Ovis aries: one gene and its partner. The protein of the gene in region 1 interacts with the protein of each later gene in a biochemical or structural test. Links are inferred from orthologs where the notes say so. Each region holds a gene or a part of one and is shown in the gene's direction. Other genes may lie near its edges.

Region 1 (6,283 bases):
AAACTTGCTTTAATTATGCACCCTAGGAAAACCAGTTCATGCCATAGGAAAGTCTTAGCAGGTAGATGATGATGATGATACAATTTATTACTCTTAGTACAATCTAGAGAGGGTTTTTAAAGGAAGAGTCCAGCTGAGCCATGACCAAAAAGAAACTGTAGCAGAAGAAATGGGACAAAGAGACTTTGGAGTGGGAACCCAGTGGTCTATGAGGAAAATCTCACAATTATCTAGGGTAGATGGAGTAAAAGAGGCAGGAGTGGAGGGCAGAGAAGAAACTGCAGATGTGGACTATGCAGGGCTTGGATGCCTGGCTGAGGAGTTCAGGCTCCATCCCACTGGTGACAAGAAGCTTGCAGACCCCTCCAAGTGGCATCTTAGTCCCCAAGAAAAGGGCATCACACATCTTAGGCACCCTTACTCTGAACACACACTCCTCCATTTTCAGCTCTTACTCTTCCTTTTCACACATCAGACATGGCTTCTAGACCCCTAGTTAGGGGAGAAGGGTCTGGGAGCTTTCCCCTGGGGCAATTTGAGTCAGCAACTCTTGCTTCTGTCCACAGGAAGCCTGGTGGATTTTCTCAAGACTTCCGAAGGCATCAAGCTGACTATCAACAAACTCTTGGACATGGCAGCCCAAGTAAGGAGACTGGGGAGGGGCTGAGCATGGGCACAGGGCAATGGGATCCAGATGTCTGGCCTAGGACTGCTGACCTGTACCTGGTCTGCAGATTGCAGAGGGTATGGCATTCATTGAAGAGCGGAATTATATCCACCGTGACTTGAGGGCTGCCAACATCCTGGTGTCCCATAGCCTGAGCTGCAAGATCGCAGACTTTGGTCTAGCACGCCTCATTGAGGACAACGAGTACACAGCCAGGGAGGGTAGGTATGGGATATGAGGGAAGTCAGGGGTCTCTGGGGTCTGGCCTGGCAGACCCAGTGACCTCACTGCCCTCCCTCCAGGTGCCAAGTTTCCCATTAAGTGGACAGCACCAGAAGCCATTAACTATGGGACATTCACCATCAAGTCGGATGTGTGGTCTTTCGGGATCCTGCTGACGGAGATTGTCACTCATGGTCGCATCCCTTACCCAGGTCGGGGTCCAGGCAGGAGCTGAAAGGGTGATGGGGAAGGGCAGCAAATTCATGTCTTTCTACTTCCTCCTGGGCTCAGAATATGAACCTTTCCAGCTGCTTCCCCTCTATCCTCCTAGGGGTGGCACTCGTGCACCCCCGATCGGGTGCTACATCTCTTAGGTCTGGCTTCCATTTCTGTCCCTGAATCTTCCTTCAATAATCCCAGCTCTTTTCTTTAACTCTAACACAGGCAGCCTAGTAGGTAGAAGAGGATCTGGTCTGAGAGGCAAGAGGCCTGCTTTCTTTTTGCATTTTTTTCCAAGTTTTATTTCTTTATTTTTTGGCCACACCTTGCAGCATGTGGGATCTTAGTTCCCCAGCTGGGGATCAAACCTGCACCTGCTGCATTGGAAGGCAAAGTCTTAACCACTAGACTACTGCGGAAGTTTCCGGAGGCCTGCTTTTTATTACCATCTGCCACTGATGGTTTCTGTTTGACTTTGATCAGATTATTGCTTCTTTCTCCACTTGTAAAACGTGAGGTTAGAACAATATTTGACCCATATGAAACACTCAAGAGTGTTAGGTTTTATTATTAATCACTTTGGGCAAGTGACTTTGGGCAGGTGACTTTACCTTTCTGAGCCTCAGTTTCATGATATGAGAAACAAGATTATTTTTGAAAGAGCTTGACTCATAGTAGATGCTCACGAAACACTGACTTCCTTTCCCTCTGAAGCCTTCCATGTAGAGTGAGAGAGATGTGTAAGCAGCCAATTCCCACTCTCTCCCACTCCTCCCTCTATCTCCTCGACAAAGTTCTTTACCGCTGAATTCAGCCAGGACAGGAATGGAATTTTTTTGGAAGGAACTTGCTAGGAAACGCTGGGGAAAGGAAACAGAACACAAAGACAGGGTCGGGAGCTCGTGCAGCCTGGTGGCCAGACTTGGCAGAAGCTTCCGACATTCTGAGCAGTGTGCACAGAACTTTGCTCCTGGGAAGGTAAAAACACCTTAGAATTAGGTGTGAGTATGTGAGTATGCAGGCCTTCCCTAGTCTGGACTTGCCCCATCGAAGAGTTCAAGGGCAGCACTGGGGCTAGAAACATATTCTTGTCATCCTGCCAAGAGCTCACACTGCTCCCTTAGAGAATTTTTCTACTAGAAGAATAAAGGCAATGAAAGCATGATGATAAATGGCAACTGACGCACAGTTTCAGGGTCAGGGAGACTATGGGGAGTAATGGGGACCTGGGTAAACTTGCGTCTGCGCCAGCAGATGGTTGCTATTAAGACACAGGGGCCCAAAAAGCAGAGCTGTGTTTTGTCAAGAGAAGTCAAAGCTTGGAGTTTTAGGAAAATGTGCCCATTTCCAAATATTGGTGATGATTCAGATTGTTTAAAAACACAATAAGGGGCCAAGTCAAAGTAGGTCTGTCTGTGGGCTATATTTAGGCTGGGTGTAGCCAATCGGTTTGCACCTTTGACTCTATCCATCAGTGTTGTTTCCTAGCCTATGTCTTTCCATGCCCTGATTTTTAAATGTGAGGGCCACATAGCTAGAGGCTCCCCAGGGGCAAGGCCTGAGGAAGAGAGGTCTCTATCGACTAGGTTCCAGTTTGAAGCTTTGTAGGAATAAAACTACTATTTTGCTAGGACATCTAGGAGTTAGGCTTCTCTTCTCAGGAGAATGAAGGAGAAACCAGAGGCCACACAGGTAATTTAGAAACAGGGGGCCTATTTCTGCTGTGACCATTCAGTTCTCCAGAGCAGCATCTCTTGGGGTCCACATGTAATGGGCCTCGCTGGTGGGGCCAGGATCAGTACAAAGGGAGGGAACTGGTCCAAAGATGACTTCATCTGGGTCACAGAGGGGCCTAGTGAATCTTCTGTGCCCAATGCAGGGTCTGCCTGGCTGAGGCCCAGGATCCACCTGGCTTTCTGATGTAGCATCTCATGTGCCTGTTTCCAAAGCTGGAGAAACTTCTCCATTGTCCTGGCTGTGGGCCCTCATCCTGCGCTAGGCCCTGATGGCTTCATCCTTCCCCACCAAATAATAATCATCACAGGTGTTCTTTATGCTCCATCTCCTCCTCCAGGCACCATCCTTAGGGCTGTGTACACACTTTCTCATTCAATCCTCACAACATCTCTAGGAGGTAGGAGCTCCTATTATCCCATCTTCCAAATAAGGAAACTGAGGCTCAAAGAGGTTCAGTGGGTCACTCAAGGACTCACAGCCAAACACGTCTGTGTTACTGCAGGTTTAAGCCATAGCAGACACTCCTAGTGGCATGACTGACCTTTCGCAGGTACTGCCAGTATAGCCTTACTATCCTTATCATCGATGAAGACCAAGATCCCTTTGGATTGGTGCTCACACCATACTTGTTGTCAAATATCTTCTTAACCATCACCCCTGCCTCTGGGCTTCCGAAGCCTGGAGCCTTGATGTCAGTTCTCCCATCAACCTCTAGGGATGACCAATCCTGAGGTGATTCAGAACCTGGAGCGAGGCTACCGCATGGTAAGACCTGACAACTGCCCGGAGGAGTTGTACCAGCTTATGATGCTGTGCTGGAAGGAGCGCCCGGAGGACCGGCCCACCTTTGACTACCTGCGCAGCGTGTTGGAGGACTTCTTCACAGCCACGGAGGGCCAGTACCAACCCCAACCCTGAGGGGCCTAGGTGACTGGGGCTTGCAGCCCTCCCACCGTCTAGCCAGCCTGGCTGGGGGAGGCGCAGTTCCTGTGTCACACCCCTGTGGCCTGTGCAAATTTGGACTCAGCATGTGAATCCCGCCCACGTGCGACACATACGCTTCTCATGTCTTGTACACGGGATCTGTAGCTGGGTGGGCTCTGCACATGTGTCTTGTACCTGTGTGGCCTGTGCATATATGTCTTGGACGCTTGTCCAAGTTGTCCCTTTCTGGGCGCCCCCCTGACTTCCAAGACCACCAAAGAGAGGAGAGAGGCCTGTGATTAGCACCTGCCTCTCCCTGTCCCCCTTTCTGTTCCCCTGGTCATCAAGATGCTCTCTGAGAGCTGAGACCTTATCTAAAATACCTCTGTGTGCTCCTCTTTGGTGTTGGCACACATAAGGAGCTCAATAAATACCTGTTGGTGAAGATTGTACATCTTTCTGCTCCCCACTCCAGTCTCCTCTTCCTTGCTGGGGGGAGTGGACATTCAGAAGATAGAAACTGAGGCACCCTGAATTGGGGTGAAAGGTGGGAGGGATGAAGGGATGTCTGAACTTTTTCCAGCCCTGCTGATGTTGGGTGCCAAGAGGAGGTCCTTATACTTTGCGGTATGTGTTCTTTGAACCCCTTCAAACCTCCACCCCAAAGAATTATGGGCACACTACCCAGAACCTCCTAGAGAGTAAATGTGTCCCAAGACCCTTCCTTTCCCATTGTATAAGGGTGACTGCCTTTTCCTTTTTATAGCTACTGATTCAAGAGCTATATGTTCTGATTCACCTTTAAGGTGTTTTTAAACACTGAGTTAATCCACTCACTTAACAAATATTTATTGAACATTGTGCACTAGGCCTGGAAAATCCCAGGAACAGAGGAACCTGGTGGGCTGCAGTCCATGGGGTCACGAAGAGTCGGACAGGACTGAGCGGCTTCACTTTCACTTTTCACTTTTATACATTAGAGAAGGAAATGGCAACCCACTCCAGTATTCTTGCCTGGAGGATCCCAGGGATGGGGGAGCCTGGTGGGCTGCCGTCTATGGGGTCACACAGAGTCGGACACGACTGAAGCGACTTAGTAGCAGCAGCAGCAGCGTACTTCTCCCTTCATGTCTAACAAATCATTGGTAAAATTTACTAGGTTATAGATTTGTAGTTTACTAGATTATAGATCTGGAGAAGACAATGGCACTCCACTCCAGTACTCTGGCCTGGAAAATCCCATGGATGGAGGAGCCTGGTAGGCTGCAGTCCATGGGGTCGCTAAGGGTCGGACATGACTGAGCGACTTCACTTTCCCTTTTCAGTTTCATGCATTGGAGAAGGAAATGGCAACCCACCCCAGTGTTCTTGCCTGGAGAATCCCAGGGACGGGGGAAGCCTGGTGGGCTGCCGTCTATGGGGTCGCACAGAGTCGGACACGACTGAGGCGACTTAGCAGCAGCAGCAGCAGCAGGCAGTGGATAAGGTCTCTGGGGAGCTCACAGGGAAGACAGACAGTAAGCATCACAAATAAATAAATGGTATGGTATGCTGCAAGGTGATAGTGCTAAGGGGAAAATAGAGCAACAAAAGGGGAATTAGGAGTGTCATATTTGGGGGAGGTTTGTAGCTTTAAAGGGGATACACTAGGAAGGTCTCATAGAGAAGGTGAATTTTGAGCAAAGATTTGAAGGAGTTGAGGGAGTAAGTGGTATAGGGGAGGAGCAGTCAGGCAGAGGGAACAGCCTGAGGCAGAAACTTGAGACAAAGGGCAAGAACAAGCTCTTGAGACACAAAGGCTGCCTGAGGGAGGAGGATAGATCCCATGGGGCTTTGGGGCCTGTGGCTTCTGCAGGAGCCATTTTGAGACACATTTTAAAAGGATGGCTCTTACTGCTGTCTTAAAAATAGATTGAGGAAAAAAAAAAATAGATTGAGGGCCTTCCCTGATGGTCCAGTGGAAGACTCCATGCTTCCACTGCAGGGGGCATGGGTTCGATTGCTCTTCTGGGAATTAAGATCTTGCATGCCAAGGCACAGCCAAAAAGTAAACGTGTGCTGTGTGCTAAGTCGATGCTGTTGTGTCCAACTCTTTGTGACTCATGGGTTGTAGCCTACCAGGCTCCTGTCTCTGTGGGATTCTCCAGGCAAGGACACTGGAGTGGGTTGCCATTTCCTTCTCCAGGGGATCTTCCCGACCCAGGGATCAAACTCCAGTCTCTTATGTCTCCTGCATTAGCAGGCGGGTTCTTTACTTAAATTAATTAAGTAGGGTTTCTCTGGTGGCTCCATGGTAAAGAATCTGCCTGCCAGTGCAAGAGACACGGGTTCCATCCTTGATCTGGAAAGAGTCTACATGGTGCAGAGCAACTAAGCCTGTGCTCCATAACTACTGAACCTGTGCTCTAGGGCCTGGGAACCGCAACTGCAGGCCCTGCGCCTTAGAGCCCGTACTCTGAAACAAGGAAGCCATTGCAATGAGCAGCCCTAGCACTGCAACTAGACAGTAGTCTC
Region 2 (6,488 bases), on another chromosome or scaffold:
GGTAGACTCTGCATGCCCTGGAGCAGTTAGGCCTGTGTGCTACAACTACTGAGTCCAAGCGCTGCGACCACTGGAGCCTGTGCACCTGGAGCCTGGGCTCTGCAGGAAGAGAGGCCACTGCCATGCGAAGCCTGTGCGCCACACTCGCTGCTACGAGACAAAGCCTTGGAGGAGCAGTGAAGACCTGGTACAACCAATACAAAGATAAGTTTCCCCATATTTTTGTTTTTAAAAAGCCAAATTGAATTGTATTATCTAGAGCAGCAAGAAATTCTAAATTTAAAGCTAGTGGGGAATAATTTGAGAACTGTTACTCTTGGATGCGAAGAGTTGACTTAGTGGAAAGACTCTGATGCTGGGAAGGATTGGGGGCAGGAGGAAAAGGGGACGACAACGGATGGCATCACCAACTCGATAGACATGAGTTTGAGTAAACTCCGGGAGTTGGTGATGGACAGGGAGGCCTGGTGTGCTGCAATTCATGGGGTCACAAAGAGTCAGACACGACTGAGCGACTGAAAGGAACTGAACTCTTGCTACGTAGTTAGAATAGAAAAAGGAGTCCAAAATGCTGATGGCTAAAAGACAAAGAAAGGAAAAAGCCCACGAAAATGGAAAAACGAAAAGCCACGGACTGGACTGAGAACCTCCCGTGAAACAAACAGGCCCCCTTCCTGGCTAGCTCTAATTTGCATAGGGCAGGCTCAGCAGGGAGGAGACAAAACAGATAAACAGAGGAAGCCAAGAAGGATTGAGGCCTTGAGGATGTACTATCCTTTGTTTATGGAATAAATAAAACTCTGAGCTGTAACAAAGAGCTGTAACACTGGTCCGCTGTTTGAAATCTTTGTGGTGGTGAGACAGAACTGAGGAAATTACACACTCTTCTGACATTCTGCTCTCAACAAGTGTTGAAAATACGGTTCATTTTATTAGGTGGACCTAAACTGAAATTCTTCATTGACTTCACATTGCCTGTAAGCAAGATACCTCAGTGACCTTTCCTTCCCTGTTATGAGGCTCAATAAAGCAGTTGCAGCCAAATAGTGTTCAGAATCATTTCCTAAAGAAAGTTTGAATAATGTTGTAAAACAGAAAGGATTGCTAATAGCAAATAGAGGAAGTTCCAACAGCACATTTCCAAATCTTCTTCACGATTATTTCAGACTCATTTTGTTAACATCTTATTTACTGATCTTCTGTCCTCAAATAGAGACGTTATACTGATTTTTGGTTCGTTATCACACCAAATGAGACACGCTTGGGTAGGCTTGTACCCATTGAGGAGAGAACTCATGTAAGCTGATACATGGGAGCTTTTTCTAGAACAGCCTCCCTATCAGGGCCAAAACCCTACCTGAACAGTGTGGCTTCCAGAATCAATGGCTTTTCTCCAGGCTTTGGTTGCAGAGTATATATATCTTCTCTAGAAATAGTTCTTCAGGCTTTCTGCCCTAAAAGGTGTATTACTGTCAGCAAAGTGGTTGATTTGACTCTTTTTCTGTTCCTTCATATTTTACTGGGACTTCCCAAGTGGCACTAGTGGTAAAGAACCCACCTGGCACTGCAGGAGATGCAGGAGACCTGGGTTTGATCCCTGGGTCAGGAAGATCTGCTGGAGGAGGATGTGGCAACCCCTTCTTGCCTGGTTACTCTCTTTCTGCTCTCTCATATTTTACTAGCATGAACACAGGGGATTTTGTGTCAGCTTCCTGGTCAGGTCCTCTTCATGGGGGCCACTGTGCTCGTGGATCCCGTGTAGGCCAGGGCTCTTAGTCTTTATATCCAGAAACCAAATGAAGCTCAGAAAGTGCTGGAAGGTGGGGGTGGGGGTCCTGAAAAGCTGTACTTCCCTTACTGGAGGTGAGCACTTCCCCAGCCCTGGGAGAGACACAGACTCTCAGAAGCAGCTGACTTTGCTTCATCTGAAAGAGAGTTAGGTCTATAGGGCAGAAGCAAAAATTCAACAAAAATGCCTTCTCTGATGGACAGACGTTTGCCACTGATCACACTGACAAGAAAGCTATAGAAGGTGTCTTAACTCTAAACAGTGTCTCCAAACTGTTTCCTCTTCTGGACCCACAAGAACTTTTACGGAGTTCTTTTGGGACATGAGGAAATAGAAGGTGTCAACAGGGGAAATGAGAGGTGGCAGAAACCATCCAGGAAACCTGTAATTCTGCCTTTTCTCTAGGTAATTGCCGTTTGCTTACAGGCGATGGAATGGAGTAGTCTCAGAGATAAGCAGACCACACATACGTTGTGTTCTAGCTACCCTCTTGTTTGTTAAAAACCTGAACTGCAACCAGGTTGCTTTCCTGAGAAGGAAGGCGCTAGGGCCCAGGAGTGAGGGTGCTGGCTTTGTTGTGTGACCACAGAGGCTGGTTACATACTAATTTCCTCTAGGGCTTGTGATGAAGTCAGTAAACCACAGCCTTCAACATGCTCTGCTCAAGCAGCTTCAGTGGCTTCTCAGTGCTGTCTCGGCCATGACACACATCTGACATGCCCTCCCTTAACCCACTCGTAGACTGTCTCTCTTCCCCTGCAGTATGGACCAAAGAGAAATTCTGCAGAAGTTCCTGGATGAGGCACAACACAGGAAAAGTAACAAAGAGGAGTTTGCTAATGAATTTCTGGTAAGTTCTATGTGTGACACTCTCAGACTATTTACATAGACTGTTTGATGACAGTGGTTCAACTCTCATAGATCAAGTTGTTCGTCGGATAAAGTGAATTTCAGAACTTTCAGGGGAAGAAGGCAACCTAAAAGTTTGATTTCTCTAAGTGGTTTGTGTGTATTCTAGTTATTCTCTCCAAAATACAGTTTTAAATCTTTTCCTTGCTAGTTCTTAGACTTTGACTAGGACTCCTATAGATGACATACATAATTCCAGTTGCATAAATATGATATTAATTGAACATCTGGAGTTCCCAGGTATGTGAGTTGGGTTTATGCTTCAAACAGCTAATTTTAATTAATGTCAAGAGAAAAGAAACCAAGACTAACTTTTCATGGAGCATTATGCTTTTATGGAACCCTCCTGTGGGTTCCATTTGGATGACAAAAACTCTTGAAGAGCACCCTAACTACTCTCTGCCATATTCATTTTTGCTTTTTTTAAATGAAGAAAAAATATGAGAACATGTGCTTTTACAGGAACAGGGTTTCCTTAATCTTCTTTTGCTTGGAGAGGTGGAATGGCTAGGATGGAGAGTAGAGAAAGGTGAGGGAGATGGAGAGAAACATAGGCACAAGGTAGCTTAAGGTTTGGTTACCTAGAGGGACACTGTATTTCCTCCAGCAGAACGGTGCTTATTGATGCAGGGGCAACTGGGTCAGCCTCATTCATCTTATAACCCAGCACATCAGATGACATAGGATGTCTGAGAGTACTTATCATGTATTTTGGAATACCTCCAGCTGGTGTTTCGGCTCTGTAAGAACTTCAAACCTTACCTTTTCAGTTGTGAGGATATTGAAAAAATAAGAGAATTTAAGTGTGAAGTCTAAAATTAAATCATGACTGTCATCAACCAAATTATCAACTACTTGGCATGTTCCTTAATCTCACCGAGTCTCTATTTTCTGAGTTCTGAAACAGGGATAATAATTTATGTCCTAACTCTCTGCACAAGATTATTGTGATGGCTAAAGATCAATACTAATACTTAAATGTGACCATTCATTCAGTAAATTTATTGCGCACGTGCTATGTATCTAGTTCCAGGCACCAAGGAGATAGCAGTGAACAAAAAACCTTTGCCCTCATGGAGCTAACATTCTGATGTGTTCGTGCTAAGTTGTTTCAGTCATGTCCGACTCTGTGTGACCCTGTGTACTGTAGCCCACCAGGTTTCTCTGACCATGGGATTCTCCAGGCAAGAATACTGGAGTGGGTTGCCATGCTCTCCTCCAAGGGATCTTCTCGACTAGATAGTAAGATGTGAAAACACTCTGCAGATTCTTGAGTGATTAGATATCATGATGTGATCTCGTATTATGATAGAAACCCCTGTGTCAGCTCAACTTCGATAATACCGTGGTATCATGAAAAATGACACTCTAGTTCCCACTGGCCAGACAGTCTGAATCCCTCTAGTAGAATTAGCAGGGAGGGAGGGGAGGTGGAAAGCCTGGCCTATGTGTCTTAAACATGTACCTGGCCCTGGGCTAGAACTCCTGAGCCAAATATCTCCAATACAGAGGGGTAAGAAGCAAGCTGAGGGGGCAGGGGCAGCCTCTGTTTTATTTTGGTTGTGTTTTAGAAAGTAATATAGACTACCTCTCTGATATTTTACCTCTTCTTAGCTCAGTCATTATAACCTCTCACCAAATTATAGCAGCTACCTCACCTCCTGTTTTCTCTGCTCTAGTCTTGCCCTACCTTCAATTTTCCATTTGACACTCAAGTGATCTTTTAATACCACCAAGTGATCTGGTTATTTTTTTTTTCCCTGCTTAAAAACCTTTTATAGTTTGTGTTTTTTCCAGCTGTTTAAAATTGTGATAATACACATTTAGAAAACTACATAAAACCCAAGTATAATTGTAAAGTAACCACCACTCAGGTCAAAGAACAGAACACTGTCAGCCCCAGAAGACCTCCATGTGTCCCTTCCTCATCAGATCCCTCGCCCCCACCCTTGCCCCCACACCCACCCTACCCTGCTTTGCCCAAGGAATAATCACTCTCCTGACTTTTATATTAATCACTTCCTTGCTTTTCTAGCTCCTAATTTTGAGAACCTTGTTTTTGGGTGGTGATTAAGTGGAACCTCACTGTTCACTGACTCACGTCCTCCAGTGGAAAAACAGAGTCTTTCCCTCAACCCCACCTAAATGTTCAGCTGAGATACCAGAAAGAGTAGCTTAGGGGGAGGTGGGGGGTGGTGAAAGGGGCCAGGATGTTGGCTGGGACAAGGTAAATACTGCTCTTCAATAGGAAGGCTTTCCACCTGGTCATGTCCCCATTCCATCTTCAGCTCTGAATATATTCTCCCAGGATTTGATGTTTCTGAAATTTGAGGGCTGATTCTGTGACACATGGCCACTGCTGGCCTAAATGGGAGTGTCTCTGCAGGAATTGACTTCCCTGGTGGCTCAAACGGTAAAGTGTCTGCCTACAATGAGGGAGACTGGGGTTCGATCCCTGGGTTGGGAAGATCCCCTGGAGAAGGAAATAGCAACCCACTCCAGTACTCTTGCCTGGAAAATCCTATGGATGGAGGAGTCTGGTAGGCTACAGTCCATGGGGTTGCAAAGAGTTGGACACGACTTAGCGACTTCACTTCACTTCTGCAGGAATTATCGAAAGATATCTCTACTTCCAGGTAGATACTCTGTACACCCTGCCCCCACTGGTTCATGGCTTAGATGTCAGTCCCCACTTCCCCCTTGGTCAAGTATTTTTGTGCAGCGCACAAAGCCCTGCTATGACAGCTAGAGCCGGTACTGGGCTGCTTTGGTCTTTTTCTCATGCCAAGGTCTTTTTCCCAAGGTAAGGCTAAACTCAATAATCCTCCTATTTTGTTGTTGTCTAAAATTTTTATTTATCTTTTATTTATTTATTTTTATTATTTTTGGCTGCACTGGGTCTTCACTGATGCACTCAGGCTTTCTCTAGTTGCAGCAAGCGGGGGCTACTCTAGCTGCAGCGCTCTGGCTTCTCATCGCAGTGGCTTCTCTTGTTGTGGAGCACGGACTCTAGGGCACACGGGCTTCAGAAGTTGCAGAATGTGGGCTCAGTAGTTGTGGCTCACGGGCTCTAGAGCATGTGAGCTTCAGTAGTTGTAGCACCTGGGCTTAGTTGCCCCATGGCATGTGGAATCTTCCCAGACCAAGGACTAAACCTTTGTCTCCTGCACTGGCATTCTTAACCTCTGGACCACCAGGGAAGTCTCTCAATAATACTTCTGTAGTTGAAACTATCACTGTGAGTGAAGTCACTCATTCGTGTCCGACTCTTTGTGACCCCATGGACGGTAGCCTACCAGGCTCCTCTGTCCATAGGATTTTCCAGGCAAGAGTACTGGAGTGGGTTGCCATTTCCTTCTCCAGGAGATCTTCCCGACCCAGGGATTGAACCCAGGTCTCCCACATTGTAGGCAGACGCTTTACCATCTGAGCCACCAGGGAAGAGACCACTCCTGTAAGGTTCTCATGCCTTCATTCAAATATTTATTGAGTGCTTACTATGTGCAAAACATTGTGCCGGATACTGGTTCTGTGATACTCCATGCTTTAGCGGAGCTTATCTTTATAAGACATTAGAGATGTCTTAGAGAGGCAGACATTACACAACTAATTACTCTATTAAATATTTAATTATAATTGTGATAGTCTTGGTGAAATGTCAAGGAAACATCACATCCATTATCTTATTTATTACTCATTAAAAAAAAACCTATGAGGTAGTTCTGATCTCTGACTTACTGATAAGGAGAATGCGGCTCTAAGAAGTTAAATAATTGGCTTAAGTTCACTC

The links. The genes of interacting proteins can lie anywhere in the genome.
Region 2: of the proteins of LCK (region 1) and PTPN22, one has a biochemical effect on the other in vitro, tested with the Homo sapiens proteins (3 studies listed by IntAct, with this or other methods). The link is inferred for Ovis aries from reciprocal best matches to the Homo sapiens genes LCK and PTPN22.

What each region holds. Positions count from the first base shown.
Region 1 is NC_056055.1:235,266,201-235,272,483, reverse strand, and holds the end of LCK (tyrosine-protein kinase Lck), read left to right. Parts: intron 1-566; coding exon 567-643; intron 644-734; coding exon 735-888; intron 889-969; coding exon 970-1,101; intron 1,102-3,560; coding exon 3,561-3,763; 3' UTR 3,764-4,221; downstream 4,222-6,283. UniProt on the Homo sapiens protein: Non-receptor tyrosine-protein kinase that plays an essential role in the selection and maturation of developing T-cells in the thymus and in the function of mature T-cells. Plays a key role in T-cell antigen receptor (TCR)-linked signal transduction pathways.
Region 2 is NC_056054.1:91,177,783-91,184,270, reverse strand, and holds the start of PTPN22 (tyrosine-protein phosphatase non-receptor type 22), read left to right. Parts: upstream 1-2,474; 5' UTR 2,475-2,552; coding exon 2,553-2,639; exon of another isoform or gene 2,640-6,488. UniProt on the Homo sapiens protein: Acts as a negative regulator of T-cell receptor (TCR) signaling by direct dephosphorylation of the Src family kinases LCK and FYN, ITAMs of the TCRz/CD3 complex, as well as ZAP70, VAV, VCP and other key signaling molecules.